4 linked regions of the Cricetulus griseus genome follow. The protein of the gene in region 2 interacts with the protein of the main gene of each other region in a biochemical or structural test. Links are inferred from orthologs where the notes say so. Each region holds a gene or a part of one and is shown on either strand. Other genes may lie near its edges. The genes, in order: Nup88, Nup98, Kpnb1 and Nup155.

Region 1 (3,565 bases), on a different chromosome or scaffold from region 2:
TTAGAGTATGCACTGCTTTCTCAGAGGTTCCCAGCACTCACACTGTGACTGTGTGGCTCACAATACCTTTTAACTCCAGTTCCAGTTGCCAGCTTGGCGCAGAGGAGGCAAGATGAGAATGCCTTACTGAGAAAAGGTACCAAGTTACGTGGCTAAATATAAATAATAATTATGGATTAATTTAAGTTGTAAGAGCTAGATAGTATTACGCCTGAGCAATACGCTAAACAGTTTTTGCCTGCTTGCCATCACTCTTGCTTCGCTGACATTAGAAAGCTTACTTCTTTGGGACATACACTGAAGACCAACTGAGCTATCCAGCCTCATGGAATGAACAACTTCTGGGTTTTGGACTTCCCACTGGGATACAGCCACTGTTGGACTAGTTGAACCACAGCCTATATACCACTCTAATTCTCTTTATATATAAGGTACCATGCCTGTTTTGTTTTCTGCCTTAATGATAATAGACTAATCCTCTAGAACTGTAAGCAAGTCCACAATTAAATGCTTCCTTTTGTAAGAGCTGCCTTGGTCATGGTGTCTTCACAGCAATACAACAGTAACTTATCTTTATAAGGAAACCAAATAATACCTTATATCATTTTACCTCACTATGTGTTCATCTATCAAGTTTTTAGACTTAATGTTTATACTGCTCAAAACAGAAATGAGACATACCTAGTGAATTTTCTTTTCTTTTTTAAGATTTATTTATTATGTATAGTGTTTTGCCTGCATGCATGCTTTACACCAGAAGAGGGCACCAGATCTCATTACAGATGGTTGTGAGCCATCATGTGGTTGCTTCTGAGTGTTGAGATTATAGGAATTACCATTATGCCAGGTTATGAAATCAACTTTTGTGTGTGTGTGGGGGGAAGGTCACCAAACATCTGGGAGACACCAGTAGTGTGGTTTCAATGGGTAAAGTGACCACCACGCAAGCATGATCCCTAGAATCCATGTAAAGTGGAAAGAATCATCCAGAAAGCTGTCCTCTAATACCCAAACTTGACATATACACACAAACATCATATACACAACAATAAGGAAACTAAATATCTCAGTGGATCCAGATATGTTAAAACTTGAGTCTGCCTCAGTAAGAATGTGCTGTGTAATAACTAAAAGTTCAAAAGAATCCAGTGATAAACTTTCTAAAAGCTGAGATCATACAAATAAACTACAAGTTAGCATAAATACAGTGGGATAAAAAGCACTTAGTGATACCTTACCTTTGTGCAGCTTAATTGGACAGGAAAAGTCAGAAGCAAAGGGATCATCCTCTCCAGATGCCAGTTTCAAGGCAAGCTCTAATTCAACACACTCAAACACATACAGAGAAGGGATGAGGTCAACTCTGGGATCCCAGGACTTTTCTGACTGTTAAAAACACAAAGGGAGAAGAAAAAAAAAGGACTGAAATTCCAACCCCTCTCATGAATTTGAAAATGTACACAAATGAAAAAAAGCATGGGCCAAGCTTTTATTTCATTATGTTTATAAGTGTTTTACCTACAACTATGTCTGTGCACTACTTGCATTCCTGGTGCCAACAGAGGCCAGAAGAGGGTGCTGGATCCCCTGGGACTGGAGTTATAAACAGTTGTGAGCCACCATGGGTGTTAGGAACTGAACCTGGATCTTCTCGAAGAGCAGCCAGTGAGCATAACCACTGAGCCATCTCTCCAGCCCTAAGAGCAGACTTCTGTTTGGAAGATTCAATTTACTGCTTCAGGGTGTGAAACCCTTAATACAAAGATCAGAAACAAATACATTTCATGGACTGGTAAATTGGGCGATCTTTTAACTTCTTTCCACTTGGACTCTTAATTATGCTTTAATTATTCTTATATAAAATATATAGTTTCCAGAAATGCCATGTGTAAGCTAGAATTCTTCATATTAAGCATTCAAACTGGCCCATAAAATACACCTGCTATTAAAGATACGAACTATAGTAACATTAGCCTGGCACTTACTGTTTGATCATCTTCTTCTTCACCCTCTAGTACAACACAGTGATACAGCATTCCTGACTCAGTCGCAATTACTAAGATATTGGGAACACAGGGCAAACAGAGTACAGCACAGGCATCGTAACCGTAGTTATCTTCAGCTGCAGGGTGCATAGGCAATGGTCCCAACAGCTTCCCAATATTCCCAGGGCTAAAGGAAGAATGAAAACCTTATCAGAAAAATATTGACAGAAGACAACCACCCCCTACTCTTCGATTTTTGTCTCCCTTCAGTTACTGTAACTTCAAAAAGAGGTCTTTATTCTTTATTTTCCCACTCACATCCCAACAATAGTGATTCTTGATCTAATTTTCCCTTTGAAAGGAAAGCAGCAGTGCCTGAAGAGATTCCAGGGTTTTGTTTTGTTTGGTTTCTTTATTCCTTCCAGACAAAGTCCTATCTAATCTAGGTTGCCTTTAATTATTGATCCTCCTATCATAGTTTCCAGAGCTAGGATTCTAGGAGAATGCTACTGTGTCTTTGAAGACACTGTAGACTGTTACACCATGAGGTTCAGGGGCATGCCTGGCATCTGTTGGTGGTGGTAAGATCAGAGGTTTCATCCTCAGAAATCACTACAGCCACCAGAAAAAAATGAGACAAAGGGCTAGACTGATGGTTCAGCACTGGCTACTCTTGCAGAGGACCTGAGTTAGATTCCCAGAACCCATATGGTGGCTTATGAATGTCTAGCTCCAGTTGTAGGGAATGTGATGTACACTTCTGACCTCTGCATACAAATTGTACACATACATATATGTAAGCAAAAACGCATACATATCAAATAAAAATAAATCTTAAAAAAAAAAAGACAAGGTCCATTACACAGCCCAGACTAGCCTCAAACTCAGAACGGTTGTGTGCTAAAATTATTGGCATGTACCACCACATCTAGCCTGGTTTCCATTTTTAACTCTCCACTGACAGACAGTATTCTAGCAAAGATTCCCCCATGATTCTAGTTGCTGAATCCAACTAGACGTGCTATATTATCACTGGTTAACAACTGTTGCTGCCTGACATTCTTTTGTTTTCTTGAGACAGAGTCCATTCAAAAAGTCTTTGCTGTCCTTGAACTCACTATACAGGCCAGGCTGGCCTCAAACTCACAAAATCTGCCTGCCTCTGACTCCCAAGTGTGGGCATGAAAGACTTGCACCACCTGGTGGCTGAACACTGTTAACACTTCTAACAACTTATTTTCTGGTAGTGTTCTCTACTTCTCTGAAAGAGTCCTTCCTAAGTGTTGTTCTCATTTTTCTCTCTTGTTTTCTGGGCTCAAAGGGTGAACCTGAGCCCTGAACAAAACAAAACAAAAAACCCCCAACAACAAAAAGGCAAAACTCCAATTAAAAAAACAAAACCCTGAGTATATCAGATAGAAAATTGTACAACTTCAGTTCTCCCTGTCCTACTCTGCTCAGAAACCACCCTATTTTCCAGAACAGACCTCAGCATGTTCATTACCTAGGAATGTAACTCCATCAAATTTCCATGGAAGATACTGCTAGCTTCAGTATTTGTTGTTATTGTTTACCTGAAT
Region 2 (4,141 bases):
TTGGGATTTCTCTGTGTAACAACTCTGGCTGTCCTGGAACTCATTTTGTAAATCAGGCTTGCCTCAAACTCAGAGATCCACCTGCCTCTGCCTCCCCAGTGCTGAGATTAAAAGCACATGCCACCATACTCATTGATTTACAGATTATAATAATCTCAGAATTTTACAAAGTCTCTTACTAGAAATTAATCAATATTACAATACTCTATGTCCTAGACTGCTAGTACACAGTAATATGACAATAAATAACTTACTTTCCTAATCTGTGAATTTGGTGCGTGCTGTAAAAGTTTAGTTATTCTTAGATACCTAGGAGCTAGTGGCTACAAAAAAAAAAGAAAGAAAGAAAAAAAAAAAGTATTTCAGAAGTACACAAATATCTAGCCTTTTTTCTGGAATATTTTTCAGTTTAATTTTTCTGTATTTATTCATTCACAAAAATATAACTGAGGCCGATGAGCCATGTAACCTAAATACAAATTAATATACATGTTATTTTATGTTTGAGGCAGAGTCTCATATTGTAGTCCTGACTGGCCTGGAACTTGCTTTACAAACCAGACTGAACAAAAAGCCAGAGAGCCACATACCTCTGCCTCTGAAGTGATGGGGTTTTATTTGTTTGTTTGTTTTTGAGACAGGGTTTCTCTGTGGCTTTGGAGGCTGTCCTGGAGCTCGCTCTTGTAGAGCAGGCTGGTCTCGAACTCACAGAGACAGCCTGCCTCTGCCTCCCGAGTGCTGGTATTAAAGGCGTGCGCCACTACCGTCCAGCATGAAGTGCTGGGTTTAAGGACATTCAGAAAGACCAAAAAATATAAATTTTATCATAACCTAATAAAAAGACAAACACTTGAAATATAAAATGTGTGCTACAAGCAGAAGTATCAGTAAGGAAGTGTGTGAAAGCTTACATAGGAAAGCATACCAGGAAAAGTTTCCCAGGTTGTGATGTCCAAACAGATAAAATAGTACAAAAAAACACCAGGTCACAACTTTTAATATTTATACCACAGAACTCCTCTGTTCTCTTGAATTACTTGCTTTTAGGTTTTACTGTTTATATAAACATCAAATCTACAAGCTGATAAGTATGTTCAAATCAAACTGACAACTAATTTCGTGAAATCCTTTTTGTTGTTGTTTTGTTTTTCGAGGTGGGGTTTCTCTGTGTAGCTTTGTAGACCAGGCTTGGCCTTGAACTCACAGAGATCTGCCTGCCTCTAGCCTCCCGAGTGCTGGGATTAAAGGCGTGAGCCACCAACGCCTGGCTGCCCTCCACAATTCTTAAATGAGATGGATCTTCTATGTTGTCCAGGCTGGCTTCAAACTCCTGGGCTCTAGTTCTCCACCCTCAACTTCCATTACTGGTGACACTACAGGCTTGCAACACCACATCTATATTGACTTTTTAAAAATAATTTAAGCTGGGCGTTGGTGGCGCACACCTTTAATTCCAGCACTTGGGAGGCAGAGGCAGGCAGATCTCTGTGAATTTGAGGCCAGCCTGGTCTCCAGAGCGTGCCAGGATAGGCTCCAAAGCTATACAGAGAAACCGTGTCTCGAAAAACCAAAAAAAAAAAAAAAAAAAATTATTTTTGTTTTATATGAATTGATGTTTTGCCTTCATCTATGTCTATGTGAGGGTGTCAGAACTTGGGAGTCACAGACAGCTGCCATGTGGGTGCTGGGAATTGACACAGCTCCTCTGGAAGAGCAGTCAGTGTTCATAACTGCTGAGGGGTCTCTCCAGCAGCCCCTATATTGGGTTTACTCACCCCCAACGCCTGGGTTTTTTTGGGCAGTGTCTCTATGTGCAGCTCTGGCTGTCCTGGAACTCAGTATGTAGAGTAGGCTAGCCTTGAACTCAGAGAGAGCCGCCTGCCTTTGCCTCTCAAGTATTGGGATGAAAGGCGTGCATCACTAAGCCTGCCTCTTGAACTATTTTTAAAGTTTAGTTCTCAAAAGTCTAGGTTAGGGCTGGTTGTAATGGCAAAGACCTTTAATCCCAGCACCGAGGAGGTAGAGGCAAGTGGTTTCTTTGGTTTCGTGGCAAACCTACATAGTGAATTCCAGATCAACCAGGATTTGAATGAGATCTTGTCTCCCCGAGCTCCCCAAAAGTTTACATCGAGGTAATACTAATAAAGTTCTATTATCTTACTATATAAGCAAAAATGGTAGCACCTAAATGGAAATGTTTTGAACACTATGTCAAATGTCCGTTTCCTTCCCCCTACCAAATACAGAACAGCCAATAATGAGAGACTGGAACATACAGGGAGGGTGGAATAGTATAAAAATTCTAGGCTTGAGTCAAGACATCTGCCATTACTGAGTCCTCTCCCACCTTACAAAACCTCTGCACGTGATGCAGAATGGGGGCATTGACATAGAATGTCTTAAACGCTATGGCTACAGTAATTCAAGAATCCAATCTTTCTCACCTCGGTTTACACGAACATGCGGCAGAACAGAAAAGAACCTTTCATTCGGTTGACCAGACCCCTCCAATCGCCAGACAATGTCTTAAAAAGCTAACGCACTTCCGACTCACTCAACCCTCTGGTTAACCCTAGACAAGACGCGTACTGTAGAGTGGTCAAAGAAGTGATGGGGGGGGGGACCTCACTGAGTCCCCAAGGCACCATCCCCGCAAGGGCCAGCCTACCGCGGGCTGCTCACCTCTACCCAGCGAATGAATGAGTAGCACCGGAGACAACGAGGTTCCCTCAGCGTGGGCTGCCACCCGAGGCCCCCTGGCCTACGCCCCACGCGTGTGGACTCCCTCCCAGGGCCTCCCGAGCCAAGCCGCAGGGCCGCGGGCCCCGCCCCCTCACGCAGGCCCGAAGGAGCGCGCCCCGCACGAGACTGGGAGGCTGAGGGCCCGGGGCGTCCCGCGCAGATGCCGGTCCAAAGAAGAGGACCCGCCCGCCCGGCCCCAGCAGCACTCCCGACTTACCGCGGTGCGTCTGGGGTGAGGGCCCAGGTCCGTCTGCCACCCGCCGCTCACAGAGCAGCGCGCGGCCACCAGGAAACCGTCGCCGCCGCCGAGGCCGCCGCCGCCACCGACCGCCGCTTCGGGCGCAGCGCGCAGAGGCCCGACTGCGTCACACGCCGTCCGCCGTCAGAGGCCAGCCCCGGGCGTTCCGCCCTCGCCAGCCGGGCATTGGCAGGCCGTTCCGCCACTCGAGGCCTACCGTGTTACTCATTGGGCGACGAGCCTTTTGAAACCGAACGTGAAGGCGGTCTCTGAGAAGGAGTAGAGGGGAAGAGGAGGGGCGTGAGGAATTGGGTGGGGAGAAAAAAAAAAAAAAAGAGGGATGGTGGGGAGGGACCTGGAGTCCCACCCCTTTTGCCGCGACGGTTGGCTGATAGAGACTCGCGACGTCACACACGGCCCCTCGAAGAGGGCTGGGGAGTGGCTAGAATAGTGAGCACCAAAAAGCGGTGACGTTGTGCCGAGACCCCGCCCCTTTCCTTGGAGCGCGGAGACTCGGGCTACGGAAGCTCCGGCCAATCAGAGGGAAGGCCCAAGGATGACATGGTAACTGTTCTACCCTTCTTTAGTTCAAGTCTGCGGGTAATGATGGGCAGGCTCTCAGGCCACCCAGCTGGCACTTTCGGAGCTTGAAAACCCTTTTGGGATACCTATCAATCCATGTGGCTTATCAGCAGCCCTTCAGAGACCCTCAGTCCCCACTGTTGTTCTTGCCGGTCCAAGCAAGTCTTCTCACATCCTTTCCTCTGAATCTCTAAGGTAGATCTGAGCAATGGTCTATTATAAGGCTTGATCCCAATGAGGGTTCTGCTTCAGCTGCAGCTTCAGAACCTGTGCTGTTCTGGATGGATTGGGTGCAAATGTACTGCCTTCTCCAGGACGCATTTGCTAACCTCAACAAGTTGGGGTGATGCCTGGGCGGTCCTCTTATCAGGACTTGTTACTTTGTATCTTATTTTTCTATTCTTAGACTCCTCCCTCCCCTGGTGTTGGTCAAAGTTGCGTTTTCATCCTTTTGGTGTCTGTTTCCTCCTGGGATCTAGCTAAGAGCAGAGGAGTGGGCATGTTCTAGAAATCAGACCTGTCTCGTTATTGAGGTCTCACAGAGGAGCAGGACTGTGCTCAGAAAACAAGCGTGCATAC
Region 3 (3,565 bases), on a different chromosome or scaffold from region 2:
CTGCCTTAAGCTCAGTCTCCAGAACCCAAAAGGCTTGCAGCTTACTTTCTGCTTTGCTTGCCTCTGCTTTCTGGTGGTTATGCTCACTGTTAGCATTCCAGAGGCCTGGTCATTGCTTCAAGTAGAAAATTTCCGTTACACATGATTTCCTTTTTTCTTTCAGTCCCATATCCAGAGCACATCAGATAGAATCCAGTTCAATGACCTTCAGTCTCTACTCTGCGCTACTCTTCAGGTACAATGGTGCCACCTCTCATTGTTTGTCTCTTTTGGCGGGGGGTGGGAGGGTGTTCTGTGCATAAAGTGCCTAAGAAGGCCGAAAGGGATGTTGGGTCTCTTCATATTGGAGTTACAGATGGTTGTAAGCTGTCGTGTGGGTGCAGGGGATCGAAAACCAGGTCTTGTGGAATACCAGCCATTGCTCTTAACAACTGAGCCTTTCAAATCTCTAGTAGGGCTGGGGTGTAGAGGGTAATGGTTCTGTCTGACAGGCAGATGCGGTGATGTTGTGTATCATAGGACTTTTTTCTGTGTGTGTGTGTGTGTGTGTGTGTGTGTGTGTGTGTGTGTGTGTGTGTGTGTGTGTGTGTTTCCAGTGAATTGAGAAATAGAAGAGATCATTGAAATGAATGTTTGATTAAAGATGATTTGCTGTGTCAGAATTCTTAAGGAAAATGTATTGCTTTTGCAAAAAGGGGGGAGGGGCAGGGGCTCTTTTTCAGAAAGGTGTATTTATGTCCTGATTGGTGGATTTAGAATTAACAGATCTTGAAATCTTGTTCATTTTACAGAATGTACTCCGGAAAGTCCAGCATCAAGATGCTCTGCAGATCTCTGATGTGGTCATGGCCTCCCTGTTGCGGATGTTCCAAAGCACAGCTGGGTCTGGGGGAGTGCAGGAAGATGCCCTGATGGCAGTTAGCACGCTGGTGGAAGGTGAGAGAGCAGCCAACCCCAGGCTCTGTACCCGCAGAGGGCAGGAGAAAGTGACTACATCACTGCCTTCCTGCCAGCCTCCATAAAGTAATGGCCAGCTAGTTTTAGCATCTACGTCAGAATGGCAGCCTTCCAGGGGTAGTTAGTGCTCATCAAAGGGTCTGTCAGGTTCCTTCTTCCCTTGAAAATCAATTTGCTTTATTAAGGGTTTCTCTTGTTTAAGGATAGAAGAAACAAGAAAGGTTCTGGTTCCATTCCTGCTTTTGGCACCGTCAGGTCTGGATTACAATGCTTTGGGCTTGAATAGATTGTAGGGCTTAGTGTCCTATGGAATAAACTATTGCCCGAGTTTTAGGAATTGATTGACTTCTATTGTACGTATGTATATCTAACTATACAAAATTGCTTTGAAAAACAGTATTCAGACTTATTTTTTAAGGGCACTTAAAGCATTTAAGAGCACATTGGAACTCTAGAATGCTTCATCAGAGGTGACCTTTAAATATATTAATAAGGCCATTATTTAAAGACCACTGTTGTGAGGACCAGTCCTATTTCTGGAATAAAGAGCCTGTGTCCAAAACCAGGTGAGATAGTAGATGCCTGTAGTTATACACTCTAAAGGCAGAGATAGGAGAATTTAGTTAGAGCCCAGCGTATGATACATAGTGAGTCGCCTCTGGGTAAAGAACTAAAGGATGCTAAGGATATATAGCTCAGTTGGCAGAGTATTTGTTTAAAGAGTAGGTAGCTCTGGGTGCCCCCAAAACAACATAAACTGCATAAACACACCTGTTCCTCTAGCTCTCAGGTAGTGCTGGCAGGAGGATCAGGAGCTCAGCATTACCCTCTGCTATACTGGGCATGCCTAGGATGCAGGAATCTTGGTGGGGCAGAGTTGGGGGAGCGCACACCTGTATGTTTGGTAAGCTGAGACAAGCTTTCGAGTTCTGAGGACACCTCAGCTATAGAGTGAGACCCTTGTACTAAGATAACAAAAGCAGGGCCTAGAAAGGTGTCTCAGAGTATTTGTTGCTCTTTCAGAGAACCAGAGTTTGGGTCCTAGCACCCATGTGAGGTGGCTTACAAACAACTGTTACTTCCTCTTCTAGCTTCTGCCAGCCAATGCACACACATAATATTTACAACATAAATAAGTAAAATTGATTAAGTAAATTAAAAGTATGGGGCTGGAGAGATGGCTCAGAGGTTAAGAGCACTGGCTGCTCTTCCAGAGGTCCTGATGAGTTCAATTCCCAGCAACCACATGGTAGCTCACAACCATTTGTTATGAGATCTGGTGCCCTCTTCTGGTGTGCAGATATACATGGAAGCAGAATGTTGTATACATAATAAATAAAATCTTAAAAAAAAAAATTAAAAGTATGACTCCTAAAATGATGGGAGTGTGGTGAGTAAGGCCATTCCAGCTGCTGTGCTCTGCAGTTCTGTCTGCCTTTCTCCATTCTTGCTGCTAAGAATTGAGCCTAGGGCCTTGCTCTACCACTGAGCCGCACCCCTGTCTTTCTGTTGTTTTTCCTGGCTGTGACTTGTTAAGGCCTTGCTTTGATCGACTAGGAAACCTTGTTTTCAAATTGGCTTCCCAGAGAGGAGGGGACATGAAGCAGCATTGCTAAGTCAATTAAAAATTATTCTTTCCTTGAAGTCCCTGCTACTTTACTTTGTTAGAGGAGCCTTGGCATTCTCCATGCGACATGTGAATTTGACCCTTCAAACAGAAAGCTTGAATGTCTTCATGATATAAATACTAATCAACACATATTCTGCCCAAAATGTTTGGGTTACTTGGTTCATGTAGTGCCCTTTGTTGCTGGGATTAGCTAATAGTTTGTTTCATTAACAGTATTGGGTGGTGAATTCCTCAAGTACATGGAGGCCTTTAAACCATTCCTGGGCATTGGATTGAAAAATTATGCTGAGTACCAGGTAGGATATGCTTTTCAAAATAGTGTCTTTGGTTTTCGTTTGTTTTCACATTGCTGAGAATCAGACTTTTGTAGCCTGTTGTATGCTAATGCTAGGTAAACACTTAACTAAACCATGAGCTCCATCCCAGTCCTCAAAATCATATGCTCTCATGAATGCAGCATGTAAGAGTAGTACAGGTGGAATCAGACTTCTGCAGCCTTAGCGTCTGCACTGGAGGTGCTCTGTGAAAAGAAGGATATTGGATCTGCCAGATAGAGATCACAGGTTGACTGCCTGAACAGTCCTAATTAAAGGGCAGCTGCCAAGTTACGTCACCACTGCCCTAAAGAGCAGCACTGTTTCCCATGTTCTGCACCATCATCCTTTCCTACTGATAACTCAGACAGCCCTGGTTCTCTTGCTAAATCTGGCTAAAATTCCATAATCTCCGCAAGGGAAGGATATGTTCTTTGATTCTGGTTCAAGTGAGGGACCGCTGACTAGGTAAAAGGAATACTGTACTCTGCTGGAAGCCTTTTCTTTTTGGGAAATCATTTCCTTGATTCTTTGCAGGTGTGTTTGGCAGCTGTTGGCTTAGTTGGAGACTTGTGCCGAGCCCTGCAGTCTAACATTTTACCTTTCTGTGATGAAGTCATGCAGCTGCTCCTGGAGAACTTGGGGGTGAGCATTTTGTTTTCTA
Region 4 (4,269 bases), on a different chromosome or scaffold from region 2:
GCTATGGGAACAAACCCAGCCTATAAGGTGTTTTAGTTTTGTTTGTTTTGAGACAAGGTTTCACTATGTAGCCCTAGCTGGCCTGGAACTCTGAGAGTTCCAGAAATCTGCCTGCCATTGCCTCCCCAAATGCTGTATTTAAAGTGTGCCATTACACCTGGCATTGCCTAGAAATTATGATACTAGATAAACATGAAGTAATATAAATTCAAAATTGGTGCCAGTAGTAAAATTTAAAATAAGAACATTATCTTTGTGTGTCAGAATCATACATAATCTTATTTCAGGTTTCTGCAAAATGATGTTGTTTGTGTGTGGTGCTGGGAACTGAATCAAGGGTATTTTACATTTTACTACACAAACATTTTACCACTGAGCTACATACCTGGATCCAACTAATCAAAAAAAAAAAAAAAAAAAAAAAAAAAAAAAAAAAAAAAAAAAAAAAAAAAAAAAAAAAAAAAAAGCTAGTCATAAAAAATTCATTTGGCAAATGTACTATTTGTAGCTAACAATCACTTATTAAAATCAAATTTCTACCAAAATTCTTAGATATACAACATCTGTTTTCTGGACCCAGCTGAGCTTTTTTATTTTACAGACCAAAATGCAAGAAAGAAAATATATTACAATAATTAATGAAGCCGTTCCAACTTTGCTTGGAGAGATTTAAAATTCCCAGTGATGGCTTGTACTGCTACTGAAGAACTCATTGACTGGAGTTCAACCAGATAACCACAAACAGCATCCAGACAGAGATTTGTAAATCTTCTCCTGGAAAGGGAAAGACATCAGGTCACCCATTTGCTTTCTTCTTGAAGATTCATTCATTCATTCATTTTTTATATGTATCAGTGCTTTTGCTGGCATGTATGTATGTGTACCATGCACATGTCCCATACTCTTGGAGGCTAGAAGAGGACATCAGAGCCCCTGCAAATGTCATTATGAATGGTTGTGAACTGTTATGGGGTTGCTGGAACTTGTACTCAGGAAGTCCGAAAAAGCAGAAAGTGCTCTTCATCACTGAGCCCTTGATTCAGAACCCCAACCATCTACACTTAAACCCATTTCCTTCAAAAGGCTGTTTCAGACCTAGTTTTGATTAACGTTCTTATAGTCCGTTGAAAAGCAAGGATTAGATAACAGTGAATGGTAAGTAGCAGGAAACAGAGAGGGGAATGTAGGTGGAGGTCAGTGTTAGCTGGAGGCATTAAAGGATGACTCCTGTTAACATTATTTACATACTTTCAGCCTTTAAAAAGACTTTCCCTTTCAATCATCCCACAAAGACATAACTGAAATGTCTTGGTCCTCATTCATAAGAAGGAGCATAAGGTAGTTTATAAATTAACTTTCAGTTTAGAAAATTTAGGGCCATGGCTGAAAACATTTCTAGTCTTTCATGAATGCAAATGCTTAGGTGATCATTAAATATGGATTGCTAATATACCCATGAAATTCTCTACTGCTTCTTTGTAATATCCAGAGTAGTGGTTCTCAACCTATAGGCAACGACCCCTTTAGGGATAGCATATTGATATTAACATTACAATTCATAACAGTACAAAATTGCAGATATGAAGTAGCCACAAAAATAATTTTATGGTGGTGGTGGTGGGGTCACCACAACCTGAGGAACTGTATTAAAGGGTCACAGCATCAGGAAGGTTGAGAAGCACAGCTCTAAGAGCATTCCATACCCACTTCATACTTGTTACCCAGGTACCTTTCACAATTTAAAACTTGGCTAGGATTCTCAACATATCTTGTCAGTAATACATGGATACAATCCAAAAGGTGCAGTGGCCTTTTCACTCTGTTCCAGAATGGATCCTATGAAGAGAAAATTTATGTATGTATACACAGACACAGTTTATATTACAACTCATCAAATATATAGGTGTGTGTATGTGTGTTTTCCTAATTATTTATATTGGATAAGGAAGTCTTTGGAATGCAAGCAAAATTTCTTTACAAAGCATTAGAAGCCGCCGATCATATGGCACATGTCCTTAATTCCAGTCTTCTGGGGGCAGATAGGCAGATCTCTTTGAGTTCAAGACTAGCCTGGTCTACATAGTAAGTTCTAGGTCAGCCAGCGCAGTGAGCCATTTTCCTTTAAATTTATGCAGTCTGATCATAGAGTAAAAGAAACTAGCAGTCACAGAACCTTAATCTGTTATGGCCCATAAGATTACAACAGGCTGCTTCCTGTCTCTATCCTTATCTTTTTGTAGTGTAAGGTGAAGGCACTACTATTTTCATTATGTCCTAATTATGAGGCTCAGTTGAGTTATTAGAAAAGCCTTGGAGAACACATTATGTGGTGTCACATTATACACCGAGGGAACTAAGGTAGAAGGATCCCAAGTTTAAGGTCAGCCTTCAAAAAACAGTGAAAGATTCAACTTTTGTACAACTACACACACGCGCGTGCACGCGCGCACGCACACACAGACACACACACACACACTATATATATATATATATATATATATATATAATATTTTTTTTTTTTTTTTTTTTTTTTTTCCTCCAACATAATGCATGTGGGATGGGGCGGCAGGGTGGGGCAGGTGGAAACACATGGAGACCAGAGAAAAGGACAGTCTAGGATGTTGTTGCTTGGCAGGTGTCCGCCTTAACTTTTTTCTTTTTCTTTTGAAGGCACAGTTAGAGGCCCCAGGATGCACCTGTCTGTGTCTCTCCAGTACTGGGATTACAAACACACCATTGCATTAGTTTTTAATATGGGTTCTGTGGATCAAACGTGGGCTAGAAGCACTTTACTTCTAGGATCTCCCTATCCTCTACATGAGATGTTTAAAAAATGAGGATACATGAGTAAATGTGCTGTTAATTTTGTTTGCTTAAAGCAAGTAAGCTGGGGATTGCAGTCTTGTGGTAGAACACTAGTCAATCATGTGCAAGACCCTAGGATAGTCCAGAAATAGCCCCTACTTTGGTTTATCTATTACGACACGAGTAAATACATACAATTATTGTTTTGTTTGTTTTGAGACAGGGTTTCTCTGTGTAACAGCTCTGGCTGTCCTAGAACTTGCTCTGTAGACCAGGCTGGCCTCAAACTCACCTGCTTCTGCCTTCCAAGCGCTGGGGTTACAGGTGTTTGTCGCCCAGCTAATTATGTTTACCCATATAAAATTAGTATTTCAAAGCAAAGCAACCCTCAGATAAGAGTCCAAAGTTTATTTTACTTGCATAATTGAAGCAAATCTCCACTGAAAACATGCAGCCTAAATGTTAAGATACCTATAAACATGTAATTGGAACACCTCACAGGAAACCCAGGGAAGATCATTTTGTTTTCTTTACCCGTGACTTGAAGAGCTGATCGTAAACTTCTAGTAGTCTAGGTAAAGGCACTCCAATTTCATTCATGGTCTGTATCACAAAACCCACATCCCAGTTTAATGTACAAACTTGCTGCTCTAAGAACAGCACAATAAAATCTGGAAAAGAAAAAAAGACAGAAATTCAGATGAGAGCTTTGCGTGTCTGTACATATGTATATCATGTGCATGCCTGGTGTCAGTGGAGGCCGGAAGAAGGCATCATGTCTCCTAGAGCTGCAGTTACTAACATTTGTGAGCATACAGGTGGATGTTAGGAACTCTTTTCAGACTCTCTGCAAGAGCAACAGGTGCTCTTACTGCTAAGCTAGAGCCCAGAAATATGGAACTCTTGACTCAGCAAACTGTTTAATTATTAAATGAGTGGTTTCTAGTGGCTATCTGAAAATGAATTTCAAGCACATTTGGGGGCCAGGAGGTAGGGTCATTTGGGAAAATGGTTCTCTTTAAAGCATCAAAACAAAGTCTAACAGCATGAAAACGAGGCAGATATAGTGATACAAGCTTGTAATCCCAGCAGTAGAGAGCCAGAAACAAGTGGATTCCTGGGGCTTGTTGAACAACCAGCTTAGCTTACTAGGAACTTACCAGGCTATCCTATCTCCAAACAAACAAAGCTAAGTAATAATTAGGGAAGTTTCCTGACCTCATATTCATGTTTATGAATGTACATAAGTGTTCTCTTTCCCTCTCCCTCTCAACAAAAAACAATAAACATATTTTGGAGCATGCTCTTTGTATATAGAATGTCTTGAGTGTAATCCCCAGGACCAAAACCCAAAAACAACCTAAAAAAAAAAAGAAAGATATATACATGCAAACTGGACACAGAAAATAAACCTGTAGTTGCCAAGGGCATAAGGGAAGAAAATAATAAGAAGTGATTAACTAT

The links.
Region 1: the proteins of Nup98 (region 2) and Nup88 form a complex in vitro, tested with the Homo sapiens proteins (2 studies listed by BioGRID). The link is inferred for Cricetulus griseus from reciprocal best matches to the Homo sapiens genes NUP98 and NUP88.
Region 3: the proteins of Nup98 (region 2) and Kpnb1 form a complex in vitro, tested with the Homo sapiens proteins (3 studies listed by BioGRID). The link is inferred for Cricetulus griseus from reciprocal best matches to the Homo sapiens genes NUP98 and KPNB1.
Region 4: the proteins of Nup98 (region 2) and Nup155 form a complex in vitro, tested with the Homo sapiens proteins (2 studies listed by BioGRID). The link is inferred for Cricetulus griseus from reciprocal best matches to the Homo sapiens genes NUP98 and NUP155.

Annotation. Positions count from the first base shown.
Region 1 is NC_048600.1:84,763,257-84,766,821, forward strand, and holds part of Nup88 (nuclear pore complex protein Nup88), read right to left. Parts: intron 2,173-3,565; coding exon 1,986-2,172; intron 1,387-1,985; coding exon 1,239-1,386; intron 1-1,238. UniProt on the Homo sapiens protein: Component of nuclear pore complex.
Region 2 is NC_048596.1:97,176,060-97,180,200, reverse strand, and holds the start of Nup98 (nuclear pore complex protein Nup98-Nup96), read right to left. Parts: upstream 2,822-4,141; 5' UTR 2,683-2,821; intron 2,592-2,682; exon of another isoform or gene 2,445-2,591; intron 1-2,444. UniProt on the Homo sapiens protein: Plays a role in the nuclear pore complex (NPC) assembly and/or maintenance. NUP98 and NUP96 are involved in the bidirectional transport across the NPC. May anchor NUP153 and TPR to the NPC.
Region 3 is NC_048600.1:110,314,719-110,318,283, reverse strand, and holds part of Kpnb1 (importin subunit beta-1), read left to right. Parts: intron 1-163; coding exon 164-235; intron 236-791; coding exon 792-936; intron 937-2,800; coding exon 2,801-2,883; intron 2,884-3,438; coding exon 3,439-3,546; intron 3,547-3,565.
Region 4 is NC_048595.1:341,864,938-341,869,206, reverse strand, and holds the end of Nup155 (nuclear pore complex protein Nup155), read right to left. Parts: intron 3,477-4,269; coding exon 3,340-3,476; intron 1,837-3,339; coding exon 1,730-1,836; intron 775-1,729; coding exon 636-774; 3' UTR 563-635; downstream 1-562.